Astyanax mexicanus: one gene and its partners. The protein of the gene in region 3 interacts with the protein of the main gene of each other region in a pairwise test. Links are inferred from orthologs where the notes say so. Each region holds a gene or a part of one and is shown on either strand. Other genes may lie near its edges.

Evidence for each region.
Region 1: the proteins of efemp2a (region 3) and il16 interact in binary tests that used the Homo sapiens proteins (3 or more experiments, as listed by UniProt). The two-hybrid records come from large-scale screens. The link is inferred for Astyanax mexicanus from reciprocal best matches to the Homo sapiens genes EFEMP2 and IL16.
Region 2: the proteins of efemp2a (region 3) and ammecr1 interact in binary tests that used the Homo sapiens proteins (3 or more experiments, as listed by UniProt). The two-hybrid records come from large-scale screens. The link is inferred for Astyanax mexicanus from reciprocal best matches to the Homo sapiens genes EFEMP2 and AMMECR1.

Annotation. Positions count from the first base shown.
Region 1 is NC_064423.1:11,235,041-11,239,881, reverse strand, and holds the start of il16 (pro-interleukin-16), read right to left. Parts: upstream 3,126-4,841; 5' UTR 2,988-3,125; coding exon 2,975-2,987; intron 1-2,974. UniProt on the Homo sapiens protein: Interleukin-16 stimulates a migratory response in CD4+ lymphocytes, monocytes, and eosinophils. Primes CD4+ T-cells for IL-2 and IL-15 responsiveness. Also induces T-lymphocyte expression of interleukin 2 receptor. Ligand for CD4.
Region 2 is NC_064424.1:19,971,419-19,976,259, forward strand, and holds the start of ammecr1 (AMME syndrome candidate gene 1 protein), read right to left. Parts: upstream 3,048-4,841; 5' UTR 1,999-3,047; coding exon 1,526-1,998; intron 1-1,525.
Region 3 is NC_064417.1:45,817,535-45,822,375, reverse strand, and holds the start of efemp2a (EGF-containing fibulin-like extracellular matrix protein 2a), read left to right. Parts: upstream 1-2,375; 5' UTR 2,376-2,654; intron 2,655-4,841. UniProt on the Homo sapiens protein: Plays a crucial role in elastic fiber formation in tissue, and in the formation of ultrastructural connections between elastic laminae and smooth muscle cells in the aorta, therefore participates in terminal differentiation and maturation of smooth muscle cell (SMC) and in the mechanical properties and wall integrity maintenance of the aorta.

The DNA of each region.
Region 1 (4,841 bases), on a different chromosome or scaffold from region 3:
TATTTGCAAACAGCCCCTACAAAAACTTAAACAAAATTGCAATGTTATGTTTCATTGTTATGTAAAACCAATGTGTTTTATATGTCTGTAGGTCTTTTAAAAGTTATAAAGTAGTAAAACATAAAAAAAAAAGTTTGAACATTATTTTTTTTATGAAAAAAAAAGAGTGAATTATCCTAATTGAACCATTACCTGTTGGAGGTAAGGAAAGCCATTGCACCAAATATTGATAGAATAATAAATAATGGAGTTAGTAATTAAATATTCACACTGCTTGTTAGGATTTTTTTGTTTGTTTCAGACATATTTTGGATAATTAAACGTGCACCAGGTCAAACTGACCCTGGAACACCATTGCTGTTCTTGACAAATGAACATAACAGGAGGGTTAATTCTGGTACTGGTAGGTTATAGTCATATGATTATTTACTATATACATGCACATTTATACAAAAGGCCAGGGCTGTATTTTAATTCCCCCTTTCAGAGAAAAGAATGACTGCAGTGTGAATTTTACAATGACAATTCACACTGGTATGGGTGAATAAGAGCAGTTTTTTTTATTACAGTAAATACAGAGTGTGGGTTTTTTCTCTTTGGTCATTAATGCCAAGTTTATATTAGTGAGTAATGCATTTTTTCTTCACTAATCTCTCTGTCTGATCTTATTAAAATAAACAGCAGTGTTTGGAGTTCACTGTATGACACAATCGCCAACACCACCACCCCCAAAGTGTACAAATGTAAACAGCGACTAAATATTGTCTATGCTGTAGGTCACAGCTGTTGCAAGTCTAACACATATCTTTATGACAAAAGTTTTCTTGTACATACAAGGTTTCTTGAGTCAATAGGCATTCATATTAGGGATGCACAAAAATGAAATTGTGTGGCCATAACCAAAAGGATGAAACAAAATGACATAATTGGCCAAAGGCAGAATACTTAACATGATTTTCCACAGGTATTCATTAAGTTTGCCACTTTTTTCAACATTGAACTAATTTTATAGCCAAAATGTTTTTTTTCTTGCTTTTACAAAACTACCATATAAAATATGTATTGAACACTTAACATGACTAATACACCAACAAAACACAGTACATTATCCTCAGCAGTAAGTGTAAATTGTGAATATACTTCAGCAGTGCTACTCTATCTACTGACTTTAGTTGCGAATTTACCTCAACAGTGGTACTTAAGCTGACTTTTGTTGAAAAAATAGATGCTAATAAATGCTCAGCTTATGTTACTATACTAGTCCTGTACAGCTTGGATATTTTCTAACTCTTTCCTTAATAAATGTGTTTGATCTTTTTATTTATTCCCTTATTTATTTACTGGTACATTTGCCCACATTTTTTGGTTTCCAAATATTTGGTGCATCACCCCAACAGTGTTTGTTTGGGTTGATGTTAGGTTTCTGTGAGGGCCTTCCCTTCCACACCAAACTCAAGCAACCATGCCTATATGATCTTGTTTTGTGAACTGGGGCGAGTAAGTAAGACCGCGAGTGAATTTGCTGTTCTCACACCCAGTGGAAGTTCATTCCACCATTTTGGTCCTGCAGCACAGAGAAGAGTCCATGTTTGTTTTCTGTTAATCTTGAGAGATGGTGGTTTGAGTTGAGCCATACTGGAAGCTCTAAGAGCTCTTGGTACAGATCTAGCTTTGACCATCAGTGCCATCGAGAAGGAAGAAGCTGGTCCGTTTTTGGCTTTGTAGGCCAGCGTCAGGGTTTTAAATTTGATTTGGGCGGCAACATAAAGCCAGTGAAGGGAATGCACCAAAGGAGTCACATGACTAAACTTCGTAAGATTAAGGACAAGTCGTGCTGCCGCTGATTCTGAACTAGTTGCAGGGGTTTGGTGACTCGCAGTGGATGACCAGCCAGTAGGGAGTTGCAGTAGTCGAGTCTTGAGATGACAAAAGACTGCAGAGAGGGTGCTTTTTATGGTGGGGGTGCTGAATTCAGCATAGCACTAGCAAGCACACTGAGCAGTGAGTGACGTAAGCGTGCTCAGGCACGGATTGTTTAAACCAAGTATGAGTGCAGGCCAGCAAGGGGAAAGGGCTCCAAGTACGATTCAACCAAACCATGATTAGTGAGAGTACACCCTAAGAGAGCAATACCTGAAAAACAACTCCATAGCATTATCCTTCCTCCACCAAACTTTACTGTTGGCACAGTGAAGTCAAGCAGGTAACATTTTCAACCATTAGACTTTCAGGTAGAGAAGCTCAATGCATCAATCATGTAGAACAATCATGTATCACCACATCCAGTGTCCATTGAGGGTATGCTTTACATCCCTCCATCCGATGTTTGACATAGTGCTTGGTGATTTAAGGTTTGCATGCAGCCAGTGCACAGTTTATGCGCTTTGCTTTTAAAGACACCCCACCATGCAAAAACTAATTTCAGAAACCACCTCACACAACCTCTCTCTGTGACTTCATACAGCTGGGTTGCTGTGGTTCCTAAATGGTCCACTTTTCAATAATACCACTCATAGCTGGGAGAACTTGTTGCAGTGGTGGAAACCTATAACAGTACCACACTGTTAAGTGAGCTCTTCATAACCACCCATTCGTTCACTTCACGTGTGTTTAAAGGCAGACTGTATGGATTGAATAGGATTGGATATACAGTAATCCATCTTTAATCCATCTAATGTACTTACAATAGAGATATTTGTGCAGGTGCTGAACTTACCAACTTCCCATTGGCTGCTGTTATGTATTTTTGAGGGTTGAGCCTAAAGCTTAGTCTTAATTATCTTATAAACAGAAAAATACATCAAACTGACAGTCAGTTGTAATGTGGGCTGAGCTGCAGATCACACTGGAGTGTTCATTTACTATCTGTACATTAAATATTTTGGAAACAGCAAATTCTATTCAACATTTCAAACCAGCATGTATATGTTTTTTTTCTACAGCAGAAAAGTGACGGAGGAGAGAAATCACTCACCGAAGCTGATCATCTGACCTGACCAGAGCGTCCACGTGTAGCCTGCTGGGAAGTGTGTGTGGAGTGTTTCAGAGCTGTAGTCCAGCAGAAGTGGAGGAGAATGTGTTTCTGTGTGCTAGGTGATAAAAGGTGCTCTGTGGAACAACTTTTCCCTCTCTCCCTCCCTTCCTCTCTCTCTCTCTCTCTCTCTCTCTCTCTCTCTCTCTCCCTCACTCTCGCTCAAATGAGTGCCAGAGGCTGTCAGAGATTGGGCACTTGTAGCTGCCACCCTCCCTCCTTCACTTACTCACTCACTCACTCCTCAGCCCAGCAGCCAGCTAAACACAGAGTCCTCTCATAGAGCAAATCAGAGAGAGAGAGAGAAGAAACAGTATTGCAAAAAAAAAGCGAGAGACTGAGAGAAAGAATAAGAGATAGCAGGTAGGGAGGGGAGTAATAAAGAATAAAGGGAAAGAAAAAGAAAGAAAGAAGTAGAGACAACACATGAAGAGAGGAGAAAGACAAAAAAGAAAGGAAAAATTAAAGTGGAGGAAAAAAAGGGATAAAAAAAGAAAGTGACAAGATAGAAAGAAGAAAGAAAATCAGCAAAGAGAGAGAGCAATAGCAGGGGAGGAAGAGGAGAGAAAGAGTAAGACAGAGAGAGAGAAAGTAAAAATAGAAAGAACTGAATAAAGAGGGGGAACAAAAGTGGGCAGAAAGAGATAGCAAGAAAGAAAAGTGAAGCGCACATTAGGTAAGAGACAAAAAGAAGAAAAGTTTCAAAAAAGACGAAAATAGAGTAGAGATAAACAGAAAGAGAAATAGCAGGAGGAAGGAGAGAGAAAGACTAAGTAGAAGTAATGGGGAAAAAAACAAATACAATAAAAAAGGAGAAACAGACAATGAAAATATAAAAAGAAACTGGAAACAACAACAGACAAGAGACGAAATGACAAGGAAGAGATGAAGGGAAAAAGCAAATGCTGAGATAAAGAATACGATATAGCAGGGACGAAGGGAATAAAAAATAAAGAGAGAAAGTGTAATAAAGAATGAGGAAAGAGAAAAGACAACAAGGGGAAAGGAAAAAGACAAAAAGGAAGGGAAAAAGAAAAATGGAGGGAAAAACAATCAAGACAAGAAAAAACAGTAAAGAGAGAGGAGGGGAGGAAGAAGAGAGAAAGAGTAAGACAGAGAAAGGGGAGAAAAAAGATATAATTTAGTAGAGGATAAAAAGGGGGCAGAAAGTGAGAGAAAGAAATAAAAGTGAAGAGCAAATCAGGTAAGAGACAAAAAAGGAAAATTTCAAGAAAATGGAAAAAAGGTGGAGAGAAACAGAAAGAGAGAAAGGGTAGAAAAAACAGAAAGAAAGAGAGAGACAAAGAGAAAGTAAAACAGAGAGAAAGAAAAAGAGAAGTAGCAGGGGAGAAAGTAGAGAAAGACAAGGAAAGAAAATAAAAGGGAATACAATAGAATAGAAAAAGGGAAAAAAGACCATAAAAGACAAGAAAGAGATGCAGACAAAAAGAGCAGAAAGACGGCACAAGAAAAAAAAGAGAGAGAGAGAGAGAGGGAGAGAGGGAGAGAGAGAGAGAAAGACTTTCCCCAGTGAACTAACACCTACTACATTTCACAATGCTCCTTTACTCCAGATCAGCTCTGTTACAGCGTCTCACTAGTAACGCTATTAGCAGCCAGTGAGGCACTTTAAAGCATTTCTTCTATATGTTCCACATATCATTCTGATTCATCCCAAAGCTTTTCCCTCCTACTGTGTTTCAGTCAAATCTGACTGATAAATGTACCTCAGTTTTAAAGATACTGGACACAGGATTGGAGTATGTAAGCCGGGATGCTAACAGCTTTGATAAAGCTCTGCAGGGTTAGA
Region 2 (4,841 bases), on a different chromosome or scaffold from region 3:
AAAAAAAGTCATAATAAACAACGGTACTTTTACATTCACAAATTAAATACATTTAAAGGCAAATGTTTGTGTACTGCTACTCAAGTGGAGGTCTAAACGGATCCATATTTGCTGGAGTCATATTTTACCTATGTTAACTAGTCAACCTACCTTAGGTTGTTATCTACCTCTATTTTAACTTGAATAGCAAGCAAACAACATGGTCTGGGTGATTCGTCCACCAATGTGCTGGCTAGTGTTAACCCAGCTAACGCTACCGAACAAAGCAGCAAAAACTGACCGGTCACTCATTCGCGCTACAGTGATGTTTATTTGCAGGGTTAGCTTTCGCAGACTGGACATGTCCTTAAATTAAGTAATTGGGTTTGCTAATAACTAACCTCAACCACCCAAATTAATATAAGCAGAGAAACGCCAATTAAGCCTAGCTGGAAATATGCTAGGGAGTCGACTTTAAAACTACACTGCTCTGCTGTTAAAGGCACCGTAAACAACTCCGGCTTTGTTAGCTAACCAATCTAGCGCTAGCTAGCTAAGCTAGCCAATGACTGCTAGATGCACACCTAGATAAATAGATAGACAGCTAAAGCGCTTGGCTGTTTTTAGCCGACATTATGCTTGACAAAAACAAGCCAGCCAAAGGAACTAATTATAAACGTGGAAAGAACTGGTGTCGAAATTCTGTGTAATTTCAGGAATTTCACTGGCAAGTGAGCTAGCTGGCTAATATTCGTGGCTAGCCGAACAAGCTTAGCTAACGTGTGCAGCTTGGTTAGCTAGCTAGCGTAGCTAACGGGTTCATAATTCAGTTCACTGTAAAACATCACCCAACAGAGCGTTAGCAAGAGCACACAAAAGAGACACACATAAACTACCGTATGTTTGATAACAATCCAGTTATTTACCTACGTGTTTTTGAAATTTGTTTGACCGTATTTATAGTATAAGAAACCCACACTAACCCAGAGAATTAGCTTTAGCTGAAATAAAGTGGGACGCTCGGCCAGTGTATCTGATAAAAAATTAATCCGGACTAAGTTGGCTAACCGCTAGCTAGCATTAAACCCGTAAGCTCACACCAGTCAGTGTTTTCGTGGTAAATAGTCCAGCTACTTGAAGTTCATTCAAACAACAGCGGCTTTAGTAAATAAAGGAACTCGGGCACTTTTTTCTCCTTCCTTAGGCGACGAGTTGATTGAAGTTAGATAGGTTACTTTTTTAGAGAAATATCTAAAACTACAAATGTTTTCAATCGTAGCCACCTACTTAGCTAACTCTATCTGAACACAAAAGTTGAAAGTTACCAGGGAAATACATTTAAGCATTTGGTAGTTAATAAAGTAGCAAGAAAATATAGGTTAATGGTGACTCGTGTCAGTGTTTACTGAAAAGCAGGCAAGACTCCTTAGCTAAACTACTTCAAGTCATATTTCTTTAGGCTTCTTTAGGTTGACAAAGACCGAGAACATCACTACTTAGCTGCTATTTTAGCCAGTTAAGCTAACTTAGCCATCCCGCTACTTACTAGGGGTCGTTTGTAAACCTGGGTGTTCGGGGAGGCTGGTATCCGTATAGATGGCAATAAAGCACGTCGAAGCAGAAGCAACACATCTCCGCCGACACTACCATCTTCCTGGCCCCGCTTCCAGAGCCAGGACCGGGGCTGAGGTTCGGAGAGAGGCCGGTAGAGTTGTAGCCTCCCGGAGTTGGGGACAGAGCGGTGGAGTTGCCGCTGCTGCCTCCTCCTCCGCCGCCGCTGCTGCCGCCGCTACCCCCAGGACCCCCCAGGCCGTTCACCCGATTCACGCTGCCGGCCACCACGGTGGAGGAGGACCCGATCCCCAAGTCCGATCCGCAGTGTCCGGCCCCTGCCACCCCGCTCCCCGCCCCGCCGGGCCCCCCCGAGCCGGGGGATCCCGACAACTTCTGCTTCTTCACCCCGCAGCACCCGGCCGCCATCTTCGAACAATCTGCACCGACACACCGCTTCCGACCCATCACCGTCACCGCGGGAAGGGCGGGGGGAAACGCCGACCACACGTAAAAGTCCCACTGCGTCAGGGCGTACGACGGACGATGCTCCACCTTTCCCTCCTCCTTCTTTCCTCTTCCCTCCTCCTCCCGCTCCCGTCCGACGAGCGGCGTAGCTAGCGAGCTAACACCCGGAGTAGTTTGACTGGGGGGGGGGGCGGTGGGGCGGAGAGCTGAGGGGGGGCTGTAGGGAGTTAGGTTAACTAGGGAGTGTGCGGGAAAGTGTGTGGGACTACGAACGAACGCACCACGCACGCAGAGGAGAGCCTCTGCAATGTCACCCGAGCTTCTCCAACGGCCGTATCGTACGCTGCGGTCGTACGCAATGTCCGTAAGCAGGCGGCCAGCCAGCTGCGAACCTCTGCAAAGCCAACGACGCTTGGACGGAGCCGCGGTGTTCGCAGTGTTTGTTGATGGGGGCAGCGGCAGCAGGCCCCTCGCCGCTGCAGCTCGCAACACGAGTCTCTGTCAAAGCGCGCAGACATCCACAGTGTGCAAAAAACAAACAGGCAAAAAAGGGCGTGGAAGTCGAGAGTCGAGAGGCTTCAGGACGCGGCGGAGCAGGAGCAGGACCAGCGTCCACCGTCCCCTTCTCTCTAGCTAGCTGTCTCCCCGGTCCACCTCCCTCCCTTCCTTAACAGCACAGACACAGCGCAGCTTCCCGTGTGGAAATGGGGGGCTTTTTTGAGTACGCAGGACCCATACGGCTCGCTACGCCCCGGCTAGTGCTTTCTTTTTATCGGTTGTTTACTTGCATCCGACCTTGGCTAGCCAGCCAGCTAGCTAGAAAGAGTCGGCCGGCCGGCTTCTTCCTCCTCCTCTCCCTCTGGAAGGATATATAGAAAGGCTCCGAATAGCACAAGTTATCCGCAGCTAGGATGGCGCTTTCTTTTTTTCAGGCACCGCTGCAGTTCGGCTTTTTTGACAGCGCCAGAGAGACGCAGAGAGTCATTTCATCTGCGCGAAAGCCCAGCGAAACACCGGCCGTCCCCTCAATGCGCAGTAGCCTCGCTATTACACCCACCTCCCCCTGGCTCACCCCCGGCTCACCCCCACCTTCACCCCCAGCTACGGCTCTTTTTACAGTAACCCCACCAGCACTGCGAGAAGCAGACTGAGCAAACTGGAAAGTTTTCTCTCCACGGCTTTTAACGTTGCCATCCGTTTATTAGGGCACATTTTTTTGCTTTTGTTTTGAACGGCTCGAGACAGAAGTCCCCGTCCATCAGAAGTCTCCGGACGCTCTCCCCCCAGCCGCACGTGCTCGCTAGTCCAGTCCCAGCGACTGACATGAAAGCCCGGTTGCAGTTTAGCTAACGTTAGGTTAATGTGGAGGAGGCGAGGAGGAGGAGGGGGAGAAAGAGGGTCCTAGCTATGCGACCAACCCGAAGCGTATTCAAGAGCCGTATTCACTTCGTGCACGCCGAACCCAGAATCCAGAAGAGAACGTAACTAGTTTACGCACACTTCGTAGCTACGCATCTTGCGTATTCTTCGCAGCTCCGCGAATCTGTATTCTCAATCTCGGCTACGTGAGAATTAAAAGGAAAAAATGCTGAGGCAGAATCCTCTCACGGAGCCGTTGTTTTCTTCACTCAACGATTTGTCATGTAACGTTAACAGTCTTCATTTAGTGAAGTCTTCATCTGTTCTTGCCCATCTTCATCCTATAGTGGAGAAAGAGACAGAGAGAGAGAGAGAGCAGGTCAGGAGGAGGAAAAGGAAAAAGCTAGCTAAGCTATCTATTAGCTCCAACCGACACACAGCCAAATGTGTGCTCAGCACCCAGCGACTGACTGAACAGGGAGGATGTCCTGGCGTGTTCTCCCTATTCATTCAAATACCCCCAGTCTAGCAAAATGTCAGCAGCCTACACACAACATCATTCATTATTATTCACCAGAGCTCACAGGACACCAAGGTAGGCTGCAGCTCTTTCTCGTCACAGGAAACCTGGAGCTCCTCATCTCGAAATCTTCTTTCTTTTAAGTGAAGATATTTTGACTTTCTCTTGGGTCATTTACACAAGGCTAAAATATCAAATCCAAGACCAAATCTAAGAAATACATTTGTTCGCCATCCAAAAAACACATTAAGAACCTTTCCTTGAAGTTTTCCTTGCCTTATCAGTGTTTTCTCAGCTCTAATATCGAAGGTTAGGGTTGACACATTCTTGACATCAAACATGCCTGCAAATTACTGAGAAGAATCCAGAAGTATGTAGACCAGGGCAAGTCAGCTTTTGCCAGTGAAGATGTTTGGGTTGGCCCTATAAAAAAGTTAATGTAACCAACACCCTCATACAATGAGAAAATGCAGATAATACAATAAAATTTTTACAGCTAATCGCACAGCTCATTGAAAGGAGAACTCCACATTTTTCTTGAAAGTGAGATGGCAGAGCTGGAATTTATGTCACACACTTGATGTTCCAGTTAAACACTGCAAAATATTCTGTATTTTACACATGCAAACACAATTAATCTGTCCACAGACAGTTAGACAGTTATTTATGTATGAGACACAAATACATAAAGGTGCTAAGAAACTGAATAACACTACTACTTTTATTACGGTTGATGTACCATGCAGCCATCTTGGATTCTGAACACTGTGTTGGTGAGGCTCTCACAGCTTTCAGAGTAGAACATCCAGAGTAGAAAGTCTCTCTGGATAACAACTTCAATCAAATGCCCTAGGTGTATTTATACTCCCAAAATGAATACATATGTCAGGTTTAAATTATATAACATTTACTGCCCACATACGTTAGTGAGTCTTTTATGTTGGCATTAGGCAGTACGTGCAAA
Region 3 (4,841 bases):
AAGTGATCTGTATCTGTGTGTAATGTGAACGAATCTGTTCCTGAAACGCCTCACATGCGCACATTGATACCTGCATAAACTTTGTCTTCTTTACCACCAACAAAAAACGCCATATTTACGAGACGACTCATAGCTTTATAAAGGGAAATGGATGTGTCGTTAGCAGCTCATATGTGGAGCATCTTTTACTGGAGTGGACAGAAAACAGCTGGTCTGAGGTTCATGCTCAGGTCGAAAATGTGAGACAGAAGCCTGTAGCGCATGCATGAAAGAAAAAAGACGCATGAATTCTGATTTGACCGTTCATATTTATGTCGCATGTCCATGGATTGGATACATATCCAGTTTAGGACCACATATGAAAGTGATGCAAGTCTGATAAAAAACAAAAAAAAAAACAGATTGGGCACAGCCATGAAAAAATCAGATCTGAGCCACATTGAGCAAAAAATTTGATTTGAGTTACTTCAGCCTGCTAATGTGAACGTATCCTTTAACTTTGTTGCATTTTAAAGTCACAATTAAGAATTAAATGTTAACTGATTTAGTCCTTGATCCAATACCACTGCATTTAATAAAATTGATGAAATTGAGTAAGAGCGTGGTCAAAAAGTGTCTTACTAAGCTCCTGTTTCCAGCCACCTCCACCAAACTACCCTACTTCATATACTTTTTAACCTCATGATGTGATCACAGGTGCAATGCTACAAAAACGTAATTCAGTATCTCACAAACATTTCAAATTCAACATAATTCAAATTCGAAACACAAAATAAATGTAAACTGATTTGCTGCAAAATTAAAGAATAAAATGAATGCAGCTATAAACAGCTATAACACTAACGTTCTGTATCGTTTAATCGTAAGCCCTTTAATGCTATACATATCATATTGCAAAGTTCTCACCAATACACAGGCCTACTAGTCACATGAAGGGACCAGGTGTAATTGGGATCTGTATCTGGATAGGTACTTATGCTTAAACCATATGGCTCGCTGGTCATTTGTTGAACAGTTGAACCAATAAGTGTGGGTGTCAGGAGTCCCAATGTGATGTCTGTGTGTGGCCACCTAGGGGGCTTCAATTTGTCACCATGTTGTGGGAGGTACATAGATAGAGTCTGTGGGTGTTCTGAAAATGACAGACCTGTAACGGACCTCCGACACGGCCTATTAAACGAATGAATGCTCTCTCAACTCCTGCACTGGAGTTTAAAGCTGAGAGTCGAGAGAAAGCACCTCCTGGAATGTTACACTGTTTTTTTTTTAAGGGTTCACATCTCGTTGAGCATTAACTATGTCTTTGGGTCACTTCTGAACTGTAATTATTACTGTTCCCCCACATCTCGTGAAGCAGTGACTCTGCAGAAATGGACAGCCGGGCCTGTATTTAGACAGTGAATAACGTGCAGAACAAAACCCTGGATTGTTCCTGTGCTGCATGCAGCTCTGTAGGAGGAAATTGATTCAGTGTGAGAGCTGTGAGAGCTGTGAGAGAGTTGGGATAGAGCGAGTGCACTATATGGCTATGGCTGTGGAGTTAATGAAATAAAGGTGTAATCAGTGTCACTCTTTACAGCGCCTCACATCTAAACATTTCTGTCTTTATATCATCCAGCGAGGACCTCCAGTTTAAATATTTGGACAGGAGGAGGGAAAAAAAGAGGTGGATGACTTTTCCAAGTAGACGTGTGTCTTTTCCTCCCTTTTTAGCACACTCACCCTCTCTCTCTCTCTCTCTCTCTCTCTCTCGCTCTCTCTCTCTCTCTCTCTTGATTTTCTCTCTCTTTTTCTCTCTCTCTCCCTTTTTCTCTCACGTTCCTTACTCTTCTTGCTAATTTCTTTCCGCATTCCACCAGCTTCTCTCCCAAGGATATAAATATCTGGCTGTGGAGTGAGGGAGGAAAAAAGATGGGTGAGATGAAGGGTGAATTGAGGTGGGAGGGAAACATGGAGAGAAAAATGGAGAGAAAGTTGCGAGCTGTGGGGGGCCAGTTTAAATGAAACCAGGTGCGTTGGAACTATTTGTGTGTATTTGCTCTGTATGTATGTGTTTGAGTGTTTAAGTGTGCGTGTGTGTGTAAATGTGTAGGGTCTGCTGGTGGTGGTGGTTTGTGAGGAAGGGTTCAGGGGGGGCGGTCGAATGTGTGTGTGTGTGTGTAAGTGTGTGTGTGTAACTGTGACTGTGTGAATCTGTGCACTGTTGTTCTGCCGGCAAACCGGACAGATTTGGAATTTTGGAATTTGGGCCGCAGACCAGGAATTTTCATCCTGGGGGGTGAGGAGAGGAGGAGAGGAGAGGGGTGGGGGGTGGTCAGAGGGGTGTCTGGGGGGCGGAGGACGGCGGCGCAGGGGGCCTAGAGGGGGGGTCGGAATGGGCTGTCCCTCTCTTCCGTCTCGCCCTCCTCGGGATACATTCATACACTCCAGCTGTCCGTCTCCACACTCCACTCAGTCAAGCTGAAGAGGTAGAACAAGGAAGAAGGAGAAGAACAAGAAGAGAAGGAAGAGGCAGCTAAAGAAGAGAGAGACAGAGAGAAAAAGAGGAAGAGAAGGGAGAGAAACCTTCACCGGAAGAGAAGAGAAGAAAAGAGGAGAGACAGACAGAGAGAATCCACAAGAATCCAAGGCCACAACAGGAGGAGAAGTGACCTGTGAGTACAACATGCTTCAGATTTCACATTCACTAAACAAGGGATTACAATAAAAGTAAAAAAAAAAAAAGTACTAAAATATTATCATCTCAATATAGAAGGTGAGAATAAGACATTCAGTACCTCATGAAAGGAGAAAAAGAAAAGAATAGATGAGTAAGATACTGCATAAAGAGGAAAGATAGTAAGATACAGTAGAAACAGAAGAAAAAAAACAACAGAAAAGTAAATTTTTTCCTTGAAGGCTCTCAGTACGTCACCCATGCTCCACAGCTCCACTCCAACCATTCACAGCCTCAGCGCCCTGGTGCTACTTCACTCCGGCCACAAAAGTGCTGGAATGACCCAGAATACCCTCACTGTGCAGCCGTCACGCAATCCTATCTCTTACAGTCAGCCCCGCTGAGACGGGCCAGACGCTCGTGGCTTTAGTCCTCCAGTGTCTCTTACCCAACCGTCAGGATGCTGTTACTGTTACGCATCACGCTTCATGTACACACTATACTATTGCAAAACTTTCCAACCTCGCTTCCAGCTTTCTTTCACAACCAGCACTAATGTCACTCACCTCCTCTCTTAGACCCCCACTAGAGCAGCAGCTCTGGGCAACTTTTACTATAAAAAAAGGAGCTTGGAAAAGGCTGGAACTGTGTGAGTGGCTGTACTTTCAGGATTGTCTATCTATAGTTTTAGGCTGATTTGTCCAGTTTTATTCAACAAATGAGGCTTTTTAAAGTGACTCTTTGGTCACTTTAGTAGGCCTGTCACTATAATTATGTTATGGACCTATCATACTTATCAATTAATATCCATTGTCCATCATGGATGTTAACATACAAATAAATGTCACTAATATTTTATTCAGTCAGGCATTGAACCATGCATCAGTAACATGACTGAAGTATTCACCTCTCAAACTATTATTAATCAAATGTTCATTGTCTCTCACAAGGGTGTAATAGCATAATAGCATCATTATTTCTGAGAGAATATAGAATATATCATCCAATACAAAAAAACAAAAAAAAAAACAGTTATCATGACATGTCTACTGCTTAGCAGCGCTAACAGTTAACAGCTCAAGAAAAACACGTTTTGGCCCCGCTGAAAAAAAAAACACAGGTGCCATAACAAGGAGAGAAAAAAAACACGTACAATTAAACCCCCCCAGCATGGTGTCACGACTCAGAACAGTGGCCTACTGTACAAGCACAGGCCACTTCTTCACCGAATGTTCACGCAACGCTTCATCACGTTTGTTTGTATATTTTTGCAATTACTGACTTTTGGCTGCATTATTTTATATGGCTCAGGGCTGACTCCAGCATTCATTCAACGGCAAAGAAGCATGCCGGGCAGTCGCGCCTACAGACCTGTGCAAAAACACCTCAGCAATTTCTTTAAAACTGTTTATCTTGGTAGAAAAACAGTAAAAATGAATTCGAAAAAGTAGGTGATGTCTGGTTTGAACTGGTTAGAAGAACACATATTTGTAGATGTACATTAAGCCTTTCAGAATGGTTTGGTGTGAAACACTGTGTTCTAGAGTTTAAGGGGTCAGGCCTTTGAAAGTTCATACCTTACCCTACATTTGTGCCCTATTGGAGATGTCCACATAGCAGGTAAAGTAGCCAAAATGTTTTTTTCTTAGTCCTTTCCCACTATATTTTAAATGTGAACTACATCAGATGTTCAGTCCAAACTGTTAAACTGGCGCCTACGCACAGAAAACAAAGCTTCCATAAGGTTTTTGTTTCATCTTCTCCAGCATCAAAGTAGCTCTCAAAGTTCCAGGGTTCCTGTTGCATGAATTTCATTCTGGCTGTTTAGGCTGAGTCGCATTGATGCTTATTGTATATATGTATTGGATTTCAATTTCATAAAATCCACAAAGAAGTGGTTAAACTTTAAATTCAAAAGGTGGAAAAAGGTTTTGTGTTTTTTGTCATTCACATTGCTATGTAAAAAAACATGTAAGTGACAAAAAAGATCATATTTGGTCTAATTTTACCAAATGTGTGACTGTAGCCTTAGACAGAGGTGTGAATAAGGCTTAAGTAAATCTCAATCCCAATCTCAGTCTTACCATTTGAGTCTCAAGCAAATCTAAAATCATAACCTTTATGTCTCAATCAGGTCTCAAGCCTTAATTATCAAGTCAATCTCAGTCAAATCTCAAATCTTACC